Linked DNA regions of Mus musculus: region 2 is reported to be linked to region 1. The links are microRNA targets in miRTarBase. Many come from high-throughput screens and were not tested one by one. Region 1 holds a microRNA gene; the other region holds the end of a gene's coding sequence.
The links. Region 1 holds the annotated microRNA mmu-miR-9-5p (UCUUUGGUUAUCUAGCUGUAUGA, at 2,746-2,768, opposite strand). A microRNA usually pairs through its seed, bases 2 to 8, with sites in the 3' UTR of a target mRNA and lowers its output. Matches are read on the target gene's strand: a 7mer-m8 pairs with bases 2 to 8, a 7mer-A1 pairs with bases 2 to 7 and ends in A, and an 8mer does both.

Region 2: the mRNA of Mmp16 is a reported target of mmu-miR-9-5p. Seed matches in the 3' UTR shown: 7mer-A1 at 1,310-1,316.

What each region holds. Positions count from the first base shown.
Region 1 is chr7:79,500,928-79,508,046 of GRCm38, reverse strand. It overlaps Mir9-3 (microRNA 9-3), which reads right to left and starts at 2,783; the gene lies at 2,694-2,783. All of the region lies in intron 1 of Mir9-3hg (Mir9-3 host gene), which reads right to left. Gm51285 (predicted gene, 51285) reads left to right here and starts at 2,711; the gene lies at 2,711-2,768.
Region 2 is chr4:18,115,459-18,122,577 of GRCm38, forward strand. Mmp16 (matrix metallopeptidase 16) reads left to right here. Exons shown (of 11, transcript NM_001379519.1): 11 at 429-2,021. The coding sequence ends at 763. Among named protein-coding and RNA genes, the nearest start is that of Mmp16, 270 kb to the left of the region's middle.

The DNA.
Region 1 (7,119 bases):
CTCCAAGGGTCCTGGGTGGGATTTGAACATCTCTCTGTTAGGATAAAATGGATGGGCTGGCACCCCTGAAAACCTTTTGTGGTGGGTGTGAGATAAACTCTGTGAATCAGAATCAGCAGACCCATTCCATCACCACCACCACCACCTCCTCCCTTGAGGCCCTCATCTTTTCCCTAAAGTGCAAGGTTTGTATCAGCAGATTTCCCCCTTCATAGAAAGCAGTAAAAGTCCTGCACTGTCTCAGGCTAGGACTCTACCTCCATGGGACTCCTAATGGGGGGACTCCAGCCTGCCTGGACGGCAAAAGAACCAAAGGCGACACACATTTGAACTACACCTAAGACACAGTCGTGAAGCTATGTGACCACCTTGGTGTAGGAAGGACTGGCTCTTACAAAAATAGCAAAGGAGAGGGGCCAGGGAAGAGAAGGCTCTGAGTACCGGGGCAGGCTCTGGGGAAGCCCCAGCCCATCCGTGAGACGTGGAGGCAGGGAGTGCTGGGCAAGCAGGCTGAGAGAGCTGCTCTGCTTTCCTCAGAAATGAGGTCACCACCAGCACACAGGCTCCCAGGTGCACCAGGAAGGGGGAGCAAGCCCAGTAGATGCAGTTGGGGGGAGGGAGGCTCCTGGGTCCTCAAACACGCGAGTGACCCTTCACAGGCCTAAGAAACGGGAAGGAAAAGATGAAAGGACCTCGAACCCCTTCCTTCCACCCAATGAGTCCCTGAGAAGGAGGCACAGAGACAGCTGCTTTCCTGCCACCGCGTTTAATTTTGTCTAACATTCCAAGGCAATGCAGTGAAAAACTCTCCATCTACCGTATGGAAGCCACACCTTGCCCCTCCCCAGACCCAGGAGGTTCTCCTTTGTATCACTGAATTTATTTTTACTTTTACACAAGTCACCTTTTTGTTGTTAAGATAATTTTGCTAAGCAAAGGGTGTGGGGGGGGGGGAGGAACGGCTGGTAGGCACAAAGATGGAAAAAGATTTCTATTATCACAAGGGGGCTGGGCAGGTTCTGGATAGAGGCTGAGAGACCAATCTTATAAATAACTAAGGCAAGAGGCTCTTGGGATTGAACTGGGCCAAGATGGAGGTAAGGTGACCTAGGTAGTGCCCACCTCTGCACTTCTGCGCTGTGTGTGCTACTCCCTAAGGAGTAGGCCCTCACCCCCCAGATCTGCTTCCTTAATATGTTCAAGGAAAAGAAAGCGGGTCAAGTCAGGATGGTAGCACTAATCCTTCCCAGTCAATCTGCTAAAGCATGTATACACTGATATGTGCCTTAAAGAACCCCAAAAGACCCCAAGCCTTAAGGTATGTGAACTGACTTTGGATCCTTTCTTCCCTACACTTGATAGGGTCCATAGCTGGGTCTACATCCACCACGCGGGAGCCCTAATGGTTTCCTAAGTTGCAGGGGGCCCCAAACTTCAAGATAAGGAAAGAGTAAAGGGAGTGGCAGGAAGGAGAGGGACCTGAAGGCAGAGAAACCTCAAAGGGACCTTCCGCTCCTTGTGGGGCTAAGAACCACGGACACAGAACATTGGCACGCCCCACTCGCAGCGCCCAGCTAAGAGGGACCTGGAGCTTGAGTGGCCGGTGTGCAGCATTGGGTTGCCATGGGAACGGAATTCAGATTTTTTCCCCCAATTGCTTTTTTATTTGCTAGACATTGTAATACATCTTATGTTGCCATTTATTGGGGCGGGAAGGAGAGGAGCTCCAGAGAGCCTGGCTTCCCCCTTAACCAGTTGGGGAAGTTGGGGAGGCTCCGGCCCCAGCCGTCCGACCAGAACTATAGAGGTTTAGAGGATCTGGGCTACGTCTCTCCCGCCCAGCAGCCTGCTCTTGGTTTGTATGCAGGGCAGGGCCGGTCGGTCGGGGCGGGAGGCCCCCCGCCTAGGCCCCTTGCCATTGAGTACACTCCCCGCCAGTTCTGCTCCGCTTCACGCTGCACACAGACCCCCCAACTGCACACAAAGGCAGCTGCCAGAGCCGGTGAAAAGTGATCAAATTATCAAGAACTTGACCTCACCGAGGGGCGAAGCTCCAGCAACCCCCCAGCCGTATGCTAATGGTGCTCAGGGGCTGACTCGTCGAATAATTCGATAAAGGCTGCATTGTTAGCGGCAGGGCAGCCCCCTGCCCACCCTTTTACTCCCCCTACACACTGCCTACCGGTCTCTCTCTCTCTCTCCTCTCTCTCTCTCTCTCTCTCTCTCTCTCTCTCTCTCTCTCTCTCTCTCTCTCTCCCCCTTCCTCTCTCTCTCCCTTCCTCTCTCCCTTCCTCTCTCCGTTCTCTTTCTCATCGCATTTGCATCCCAAAATCCTAGTCTGCAGCTCAGGGCGTGGATTGTTCTAGCCTGATTTATGGGGTGAAGGCAAAGGCTGGCGCCTTCCCCGCCAGCGACCCCTCTGCAACCCCAGCCCGTTCCCTGCCCCCAACCCACTCCACTTCGGGGTTCCAGCCTCGGCGCTGGGAAATGGTGATGGGGGTGCAGGGACCGAGGAGGAGGTGAAGGGAATGCCTCCAGGACACGGCAAGTGTCCCCAGGAGAGCCGAGGTCGGATACCTGGTCCCGGCGTGGCCGCTCCGTCGAGCTGGAATCCCTGGGTGGCGTGGGCTTCTCTGGGCTCCTCTGGCTCCTGTGGCCAGGGCGGCCGGCCGGGCCATCGCACGCAGAAGTTGTGAGAGTCATTTCTACTTTCGGTTATCTAGCTTTATGACGGCTCTGTGGCACTCATACAGCTAGATAACCAAAGAGAGAAACGGGCCTCCCATTCGCCGGCACCGCTGCCGCGCTGTGGGCCCCACGTGCCGCCGCCGACCCGGCGCGGGGGCCTGAGCGGACTCCGCTCCCGCAGCCCCGGGCGCACGCGGAGAGCCAGAGGGGACCGACAGACACACAGACACACGGACTCCCGCCACCCGGATCGCCCAGCTCCCTTCCTCCCTCGCCCTCGCGATTTCTCCATCCCCAGTTCCCCGTCCAGTGCGTGCGCGGCCCGCTTCGACGCCGTCCCGGGGCGCACTCGGGTAACCGGCGCTCTGCGCTTGGGCAGCCTCGGGCGCCCTGGCGGCCCCCAGCGCACTGGACCATCAGCCCTCCTCTCGCAGGCTAATCGCCCCGCGGGGAAGTGACGTCAGTCGGGGGATCGGCCTATCACGGGCTTCCATTCAAATCCCAGCCCCCTTCCCGCGCTCGGCACCACCCAGCCTTACAATGGCCTCGGCGTTCACGGCTTCTGCGCCGCGAGGACAGGGGAGCGCCTCTTCTGCCCTCAGAAGCCTTAGGCCTGCTTGCTTGGATGCACACAGTCTGGCCTTTCTCTCAAACCTCTCTGACCTCCCAGCAACGTCTTAGGTGCCTGGCAGCCACCGCAGACCACCAGAGTTAGAGTTTGAGGGAAGAGGTTTAAGGTCGAGGTCTCTCCAAGGCAACCAAGTGAGCGCAGGAGAGGCTGCGAACCGGTCACTTTATCCTTAAGGTCTCTCTTCCTTTTTTTTCTTGCCCAGCACTGTACAGACACCGCGGTAGAGACTGGGGATTAAGGGAAGGAGTGGGTGTCTAGATCAATGTATCCCATATATATTGCCTGACTTGTAGGGATTCCCATGGCATGCTTCGCTCAAACCAGGTCCTAAATGTCGGCACCAGATTGTTAGCCCTTTCCCTCTGACCATTCCTAGTACAGCCAAGGATATGTAATCAATTGTGCCCCTGCGCCTTAAAGATATCCAAGGCCGTAATTGGGCTCCTATTCACCTCCCATAAAAATAATCAGCTCCTGCCATCTTTCTGCTCACAGCACACCCTAGCCCACTTACTCCAAGTGACTTTACAGGGCAAAAGAATTGACATTTTGAGGTTTCACAGTAGAATTGAGCCTGGCCACCAAACTGAAGTCCCGTCTCAGTCTCCTAAACGTGGTGGTTTAGAGGTTGCTCACCTGAAACCCATCCTGTCTTCCTTGCTCCTGTACACCCCTCCCACTATGAGCCCTGATTCACCCCCTTCACCCATTCCTGGGAGGCAAAGGATTAAATATGAAAAATTCGATATCTCCTTCCCCCCCCCCCAGTCATCCCTAGAAAGATCTTAAATCCAAGATCTAGAGATTGACTTAACAATAGAGTGGGGGTGGGGGGTAGCGGGTTCCAGGATTCCAGCAGTGACTATGAGGGAGTCCCAAAGACTCTCTGTGCTAAGGCATCCCCAAAGCAGCCCAGATTTGGTGGGGGTACTCATTCAGATCTGTTTTGGTGAGGCGGGGGGGGGGGCACCCCTTACACACTCTCCATCAGCAAATCCCATAAGGCTGGGTTCAAAGAATAGGCCCAAAGTGGGTGATTTGGAAGGGATCAGGGAATTTTTCTAAAGGTATCTAAAGCAGTCTCCCTTAAATGACACATCTGGATTTTTTTTGTTTAATACCAGGCTTTGGCACCACACCTCTGTACCCCGTGCTTGTTTTAGATTCGTCCTATTTTTTATCTTGACCCCAAATCCAAGGTGGGCTGCATCCCCACTGCCATCCCTGTCAGCCAGTGAGCAAGCCAGCTAGCAGTTACACACCTCTTTCCAAATGCCACCTCACAGACAAATCCTTGTCTCAGAAAAAGGACACAGGCTAGACTGAAAAGCATCAGAGAAACAGAGGGGCCGACCTACCGACAGCAAGGCCCAGGAAGGAACCTCGAATTTGGGCCTGCCTGGTTAATTCTAAAGGATTTTTCATAATTAGGAGGTGTCCCTTTCTTCTCCTCCTACAGCCTCTGGAATCTACACCCTCTTCCATTTAGCTGTGTGTCTGTCAGTGTGGGCGGCCTCCTGCGCTCTAGTCCTTCTGGGCCACCCTGAGCTTGGATGGGTGGAACTGAAGAGGCAGAGGGAACTGTGCAAGCACGATTCACCTGAAAGAGGGGGAGGGAGAAGAAAGAGGGGGAGTGGGGAGCAGGAGAGAGGGGAAAGAGAGAAGGAGCGTTCTCAGAGTGTGATTTAAGCAGGACGCTGCACAAAATGGCTCCTCGGCTGTGAGGTTCATGGTTATAGCACGCTGGAGCCCTGGCCTGAGAGCCTAGGGCTGGTTAGGAGTCTGGGAGAAAGACTAAAAAGCTTGATTTTGCTTTCTGTTCAGGTAAGGCAGGTTAGTGCCACCAAAGCCACATTTCTGTTGTCCTTTAGGAAACCATGTCCCTTGCCAAAGCAGGTGAGGCCAGCCAGGCAGAGGTTCCTACACCATGCTGGAGTGGGCTCTGTCTCCAGTGTCCGGGTGCATGAAGGTGTTATCAGCTCTCTCTCAGGAAGGAGGCCACAGTGAGTGTGGGCCTTGGGTCATCCATTGCTTGCCCTTTGGAGGATGTTCTGGTGGGACAGGGCAGTAGGTAGTCTCCTTGAGCTAGCAGCCACACCCATGTACAGGATGGGAAGCCTCCAGGTCAGACCCAGCAGGGACACATTGTTTGGGGCTGAGCCTACCCACGGAGGACCCAGCTGACTTTGGCTCTGATTGTCTTTTCATCTTCACACTGTACTCTGGGCCGGGTCTAAGTTCGCTACACTTCCTCCTATATCAATCTCTTGCCTCTAGCCTACTGTCCCTAAGTCCCAAGAAAGAGCTGGCAGTGGATCTAGAGCTAGAAAACCCATGGTTGCTGACAGGCCCTGGCCATGGTGCTGAGAACTGCCCACCCGGCATTTTTTTGTCTTCAGCAGTTCACCTAGCTCAGAAGTTCCTTGGTCTCCAAGTTGTGGTTTGAAACCTGAGTCCTAAGGGTGCCTACAGTAACTTAGAAAAGCAAGCATCCAGGGGGACGGCCAGCACTTAGACATCTCCACCAAAGGTTGGAGACTCCATTTTTCATACTCCTATTTTCATAAATCACCACAGAGGGACAAAAATCCTGCGCTGAGTTCCCATATCTGAATCTACAGAAACTATCCACATGTGCCCTAGAGCCCACTGAAACCTACCTTGCATTTTCTCCCACAGTCAGCTTATGAGGCCGCCCCCAAGGCTGGCATGTTACTTGTGCATGCAGATCTACATGCACAGTACAGGAGTGCTGTTGCGCCTGCTGGCAGGCATCCACTCCATGAACTCCACTTGCCTCGACTCCGTGCTTCTATTCCCTGTCGGTAGTTACTCCGCTTATGAGATAAGGGGTTCCGAGAAGGACAATTCACACCCTCACTCACAGTAGGGTGCAGATACCCTTGTCCTGCGACCAGGACCTTGCCCAGATCCTGAGGCTGGGAGCCTGGGGCTGGTGGAGCAAAGCAGATGCAGCCACTTGGCCTGCCATTCAGCCTGGCAGCAACGCTCCCTTTCATCCCCCTCTGGGCTGTAATTAGGACACAGAATCTCTAGCCACAGCCCAGGCTGATTCCAGGTGCCTCTTCCCCCTGGCAGCTTTTCTCTCCCATCCCTTCCTTGGGCTCAAGCTTTGATTAAGCTGATCTTCCTATTGTCTGGAGGCTTGAAGGGCTGTTCACAAGGAGACCCAGCTTTGGGTTACCACAGATGGAGCCAGTTCCCTGTACCCAGAGGGTACAGAGGCCTCCACACCTCCCCTCAAACACACATGGCCGATTGGACAGTATCTTCCTTTCTGTCTTTTAACCTGCCCACTTCCTCAACAGCTGAGGTGAAGGCAGGCAGCAGGGTGTGGGCTTTTCTAAACAGGGACCTCAAAATACCTTCCTCAAAATGCCAAGCCTTTCCCGTGACCAGCCAGTATTGCTCCTGGAGGCTCCTGAGGTGCACCCCTATGTCTGTGCCTACTTAACCTACCTCTGACCTCCCTTGACTGAAAGCCAGACCCTCAAACTCCAGACCCCCTTAAGAACCTATCACACACCCCCAATATGAAGAAGATTCAAAGAGGGTCTCTCTCCCCTTGAAGCCCAGCATCTGGCCTCTCTGCCACAATGGCTCAGAGATTGTATTTTTTTGGATGTCTTTGCTGCTCCAGAGATTTGGCCTGGAGCCTCTCCTTGCTAGAGCCAGCTGCCTCCTTCCTGTGACACCCTACCACCCAAGCTTCTCCCAGAGATGACCCTAAACAGCCTCAAGCTCCATCCATGGTTCCCTTGTTCTTCTCAGCTCAAAGC
Region 2 (7,119 bases), not on the chromosome of region 1:
AAAAAAAACAAAAACAAAAAATCCTTATTGCCCTGTGTTGGAGGCCAATCTGCACTCTTTAGCGAGTTCTAAGACAGCTTGGGATCAAGGCTTAGACCCTTTTTCAGAAAAGAGAAGGTGCATGGAGGAAGGCAAGGGAAGGGAAGGGAAGGGAAGGGAAGGGAAGGGAAGGGAAGGGAAGGGAAGGGAAGGGAAGGGAAGGGAAGGGAAGGGAAGGGGATAGAAAAAGAAAACAGACACAATTCCTGGATGATGCATGCACAGCCTTTGCAAGATAGTTGAGCTGATAACCTTTTTTTTTCCCTTAGAAATTGAAAGGACTTAGGATATTAAGCTACATGTTTTGAGAAGTTGCCTATTTCATTATCATCTATATGCATATATACAGTCACAAATGAGTGGTACCTCTGTGTATGTTTTCTCTCCAGGCTTTACCTATTTCTACAAAGGAAAGGAGTATTGGAAATTCAACAATCAGATACTCAAAGTAGAACCTGGTTATCCAAGATCCATCCTCAAGGACTTTATGGGCTGTGATGGACCAACAGACCGAGATAAAGAAGGACTCAGCCCACCAGATGATGTAGACATTGTCATCAAACTGGACAACACAGCCAGCACTGTGAAAGCCATAGCTATTGTCATTCCCTGCATCTTGGCCTTATGCCTCCTTGTATTGGTTTACACTGTGTTCCAGTTCAAGAGGAAAGGAACACCCCGCCACATACTGTACTGTAAACGCTCTATGCAAGAGTGGGTGTGATGTAGGGATTTCTTTTTTCTTTCTTTTCTGGGAGTTTGTGGTAACTTGAGATTCAAGACAAGAGCTGTTATGCTGTTTCCTAGCTAGGAGCAGGCTTGTGGCAGCCTGATGGAGGCTGACCTTCCAAACCTAGATGGTTGCTGGTCCTGCACATGAGTGGAAATATAATCATGGAGAAGCTTCCGTGATGCACAGTATCTGCTGTTCTCCAGTCCTCTGTCTTTCTTTGTCATTCAGTTCTAGGCCTTTCCTCTGCACGCTCAATGCCCAGTAAAATTTCAGGATTAACTGAAGAAGAGGAAATATAGAAGAAAAGTTTCTTCTTAATTTTTTAAAAAATACATTTCCTTCTGAAATCTGAGCCCATTTCTGGGAAAGAGAAAGAAAGAGAGAGAAAGAGAGAGAGAGAGAGAAAGAAAAACAAAAAGAGCAAATCAAAAAACCCATAGGTTTTTGCTTTAAGGCAAAAGAAGAAAGAGTTTAAAAAACAACAAAATCCACTATTGAACTTTCAGGAAAGTGTGAAGATCCAAAACAGCTTTGTCTCCAAAGAAGATAGCTCTGTGACCACTATGGATAGTCTCCTGCACATCGTTTTGTCAGGTGGGAGATCTGGAACACATGCAGGATGCTAGACTGTTGGGACAGTCATTTTCCAACAAACAAGGGGCCAAAATATCTGCAATATAGTAACAGCCTTAATAATACATGCATTTTTCGTTTTCTACAGCTGTTCTCAACTATGTCCACAATGTATCATCACCTCCATACTCATAGCTGTGTTCAAACAGGACCTTTCGGTTGTTTTGAAATATTTCTGAACCCCCTCCTGCCTCCTGACCCAGAATCATTGTGATGTTCTTCCCAGTTGTGTTAGGCCTTTGTCCCAGGCCGTCCATTGGTCTGTCAGCAATACTCCGCGCAAAGCAGAGCAAGAAGTATTGTGTCTCTGAAGGAAAGAAGGTGATGGTTATTTTATAAGGATCTGTTACTCTTTAATACATCAGTGGAACCCTTTGAGAACTATCGGACCAGCTTACAGAGTCAGGATGATCAGTCTTGCAATCTGGTCATTTGTAGAACTGGCCAAAAGGGAAAGCCATCACAGGTTTCGAGAAGTTCAGATTTGTAAAGCATACCTTACAATCCCATGTAACTCTTTAATGACTGACAGTACTGCATAAATGCTTTTATAACAACGATGATGTGACTTGCCAAAACTTTTCTGGCAAATAAAAAAGATATTTTGTTAACAGTATCTCATGAGAGTGAAATTTTATTTGAATAATTGGTTAGAAAAGTCTAAGCTTTTTCTTCTTCAGACATATTGATTTTTTTTTTATTTAAAATCCACTGCATGAAATCTGTTTGCCATAAAATATGCAGTTAGCATTGCTTGGTTAAGACTGAATTAAAATGATGACTCTGAGTTGCATGAATACCTACCAATGCATTACCTATCGCATGTCAGCCATAGTTCTCAAAGGGTTGGTGTGGCTTCTGGCATTTAGCCATCTATTTGATCACTGACAAAGCCAAGAGACACCAAAGCATCCCATTGTTGAGTGTAATTTGTCCTAACAGCAGTATTGTCATTCTCATGTGACCTGCAGAGCAGGATCATATCAATATTTTTTTCCTAGAGAAAAGTCAGCAACTGACAGACCTCTTTATTGATTTTAGAAGCTGCTTCTTGCAGTGAATGGCTTTGCAGCCACTGGGCTGTGAACTTATTAGAGATGGTCAGAAGGAAAGCACCCCATGAGTCAGACAATTGGCTTTGTGTGAAAGCCAGCTTTTGAGGGGATTAGCTTTTGAAACAATGAACAGCTTGCCTTGAACTTGATATTGATCTGTTGACTGTCATTAACAACAACTTAAACACTGTCTTCTGTGAAAATGTTCCTTGAAGAGCCCTGTTCTGTGTCTTTGCCCTTTGACCTTTAACTTGCAAACTGGCACAAACTGAAGGAAATCTGGTGTCACTTCTCCACTGGATTGTGATTCTCTAAAACCTAGTAAATGAGCTGTTTCCTTCGAGTGGAGAGAGAGTTTCAGTAGTGGATCTGCAGGTGGCGCTTTGCTCTCTACATGCACACTCTGAATATGCCCTATAGGTAGAGGTATTTTTTTTCTTTAATTTCAAGCTTAATTTCATTATTTTAGTAAAAATTACAAAAAAATAGGAAAAAAAAAAACCTCAAATACTTGAATGGCCAGTGTGGCTTTTATATAAAGCAGGAATTTTATACTAGTGAAAATTTCTTACTCATTTGCTAATAATACACATTTCCAGATGATTTTTAATGAGTGTAGGTATACATTCTTATTTGGAAATGGATAGTTTGGCTGCCTTGAATTTATATTTATACTCAACATAGCATGAAAGTTAGAATGCCTTTGGTTCAACTACATGTTTATGATTTGGTTGGGGACATTTTTAATCATGGGTGGCATGCTGAAAAGCCTGGCAGAATGGTGTTTCCTACAATCCGAGCATATTTTGTAAAACTAAGAAAAAGAAACAGGAAAGAGAAATGGATTCATGGCTTCATAGTACCACATTATGCAATGCAGACTGTACTTCAACAAGACATTCATGATTTTGAATGTGAGGGTAAATAACACAGGGAGGGCAAGGATCGGCGCTGTAGCTCTACTTCAGTACTTCCTTTCTAGGTGATGAGAATATTATAGTTAGTTATGACAGAGCATGGAGGACTGTATACATAAGCCTGTTTATACAGTGTTTGCTTGTTAGAGGGTTTAATCCTTTCAGGACCTTGATGTCAAGAAAAAATAAAAAATGACTGGAAGCATTTTCTTTTTCTAATAATAGAAGTGAGTAACTGTAACCTTTTTGGGACATGTGCAAATCATCGAGGAACTCTATCAACATGCACTGAACTTTTTTTTTCTCTCAAAAATCAAAAAGAAAATCAATAAGCAATTTATTGCCTCTTTATTCATTCATCACACTACCCTGATTCATCTCAAGACTGTAAGTACCTAAGGGCTAGAAAATAATCATAGCATTGAAAATGGATGAGTCTTTATTATGCTTCAATTCTGGTAAATATCATGGATATGATTTGGGTTTTGTTGCCTTGAATGTGGGAAGTCTATGTACTGAAAGTGGCTTCTATGTCTACTATCTTGATTGGGACCACTATAAGATCGTAAGTGATAAGAAATAAGGAGAATGTGATCAAAAGCATTGGGCTTCCTTTGTTCACCATATGCCAGACACTTCATTCATATGATTGCTGACTTTTCATATGGTTGGAATTTGTATTTTAAAATGAGGTAATGCTAGAGAAATCACGAAAATGATCGGTGATGAAAATAGCAATTAAACTTTTTTTAAATGAAGCTATTTGGATTAAGACCATAATGTCAGCTTAATATCAGTGAAAGTCAACCAATCAAGTTTTTTCTGTAACCTCTAAATGAGTAACATATAAAGGTCACCCCTACTGTTTCCAAAAGTGAAATGAAAACATATTTGTATTCATAAAGTAATTCATCTCTTTCACTATTTTCATTACTTTAACAAATATGAAGGCAACTGTAAACCAGGTAATAGATTTTACATAAAATAATTTTCAAGTTTACAATTTCAGGTAAATACTGTTTGTCTGTATATTATTAATCAGACTAAGTGAAATACTAAGATAGGTTATCAGTTTGAATTCTTTATAAAGCAGTAATTCCACATCAGTTCGGTAGATAAAGTTTTGATTTTAGGTAATCGTTAACTCATCTGAGAACAAAGTTTCTGCAGAGATGGTTATAACAGCAGGTGAAAACAGATGTTCATTGCCATGGCAAGGTTATAGGGCTCAATCAGTATACAATAGATGCTCCTAACAAATACAGCTTTTGTTACTAATCAGTTAACAAGGCTTTTCTGAATCACATGTAATAAGTTACCTAGTAATGATCACTAAGAGGCAATTACTAAGTAATAAAAAATAGAGACAAATTTACTGACATAAGAAAACATTACCTTTATTACTCAAGCTGCCTACAATCTCTTTCATCAGCACATAATTTGGCTCTTCAAAGTCTGTACATGTAATTTTATTTCATTTCTGTGAATTAACCAAATAGAATGCAATGCAGTGGCTAAGAATATTGACCAGGTCTACTGCTCATTGTGATATCTGGATGAAGGTGTATATACTGGGTTCTAGGAAGTATAATGTAATATTCTCAAGTTCTCCATGTTGTATTTATATTCTAATTACGGCACAAATTCAGACTCCTCTCATGTGGGTCTTACAATTGATAAACTGGTGTGCCCATATTAATTGAACTCAATGTGCTATTTGAAGAGGAATAGAATAGATGTTAATACTTGAATAGATATGTTAAACAAAAGTCATGAAAATAATCATTTTCTTTTTTAGGTACTTGGTATTTATTTCCCAAAACAAATAAAGGCAGTGATTTGCTGATAGTTTTGACCCTGTGAGATTGTAGCATATAATTCAATAAGCCTGGGGATGGCAAGGAAGTGTTTACAGTAATCGCAGCCAAATGTTTAAGCTTTGATACCATAAGAGCATATTCCAAGCTGTCAAAGACACAGCATACCATTTAAATCACAAGTGTGACTATCACAAAGAGCTGTAAATACAATCTCCACTAATCTATGATACCAATGAAGAGGTCTAGCAACTTATTGGTATAATCTGACTATTCCTTATAATGTCAGTGATTTCCACAATACTGACACATAACAAGTACAGTAAACAAGTGCTAGAGGCTAGTAGTCTAAATGGCAGTTTTTCTATTGCCTAAGAAGAAAGTTTAAATGAGTCTCTTCTAAAGGTTGAACTTAGTAATAAAGAAACGAACAATCGAGGAGAATACCACACTGTTGATATGAAAGCAACATTTTATAAGTAGAGTGGGCAGGGAAAAAGGATAAAATGAATCTTTTGTAAAACACAAAGTCATGCTCTAGCACTCTGTAATATTACAACTGAAAGATTAACTACAGCAAGGATGAAAAAAAGCAGAGAAATTGAAACTTCAAGCTCCTCACACCAGGAATGAGTACATAATTTACCAATGTATATACTTAGTCAGTGCCCATTAGATGTCACCTGTGTAAACACATCTAATACTCATCCATTGCCTCATAGACCCATTATATTAAAAGTTAAAAGCATTCACTCAGTAACCGCAGTCAGAATGATGTTAGAACCCTGTGGGGGAAAAAAAAGCCATTCCCTAGGATAGAAATTTACCTCAGTAATCATATTATATAAAACACTTGGCATAGTAGCAAAGGTTGCCTTAGTGTTCCAGTCTGATCTAACAGTAGACTCAGTCCACTCACATCATTTCTTGTGTCTTACTATTGGTGTAAGCTTGAGTTGATTTTGAAATATTTCTGGTCATATCAAAAACATCTAATTATCAATGTCTTCTTCACTATGTCTACCCTGAAATATGATCCAACAGTATAGAAAGCCTAGAATGACACAGTCACAGAAATTCAGGAAAAAAAATCACTGGTTGTATTTCATGATTCCCACCAATTTTTTGGTAAAAATCAAGAAGTAGCAGTTTTCAATGTCTAAATACAGCTATTGACTGGTAACAGAACATGACATGCACCAATTCTTTAAAATGAATTAAGTTGTTCTAAGTAGTGATAAAGGAGTATGAGGAGTTTAGTGCTGTAACAAAAGCTTCACTGGCATTTGTAATGAATGCTTTTTAAGGGAAATAGGGCAGAATCAATAACTTGTGATCAGTACATCATAAGCATAAATAACTATATATGGAGGGCATTTATATGTGGAGAGATCTGAGATTCTATGTCTTTCAACTATAAAAGAAGTAAGTCTTTGTTATAATATAAGACTTTTCTTATATTAGCATAGAATGAATTATTTTATTCAGATGTGAGGTCTATGTGTCATTCCATGAAAGGGCACACTGGGCCCTTGAGGAATACACATAACAAGCTAGAGTGTTGTGCTGATTCTCATGACGCGTCCATGTGCTCTGCCACAGAGCTATATATGTATGCCCTTAAGAAGGGAAAAAATTATCAATTATAAATATAACTCTTTCCAATTAGGCCACTTAGCTTCAAAGTAAATATCACTAATATTTTTTTTCTCAATGAGGAAATGGAAAGATAGAATTCTGAGAAAGAATAAAATATAAAACAACAAAAAGGAAAAACATTTTGGCCAACAAAGACATTTTTACCGTTTCTTTCACCTGTTTTGCTCATTAAAAGAAAATTCCATAGGGACTTCTTTGTAGCACTTGACAGGAAGCTAGATTGGCTCCCAGGATTAAAACCATAGGACTTTTAACATGGACCATTT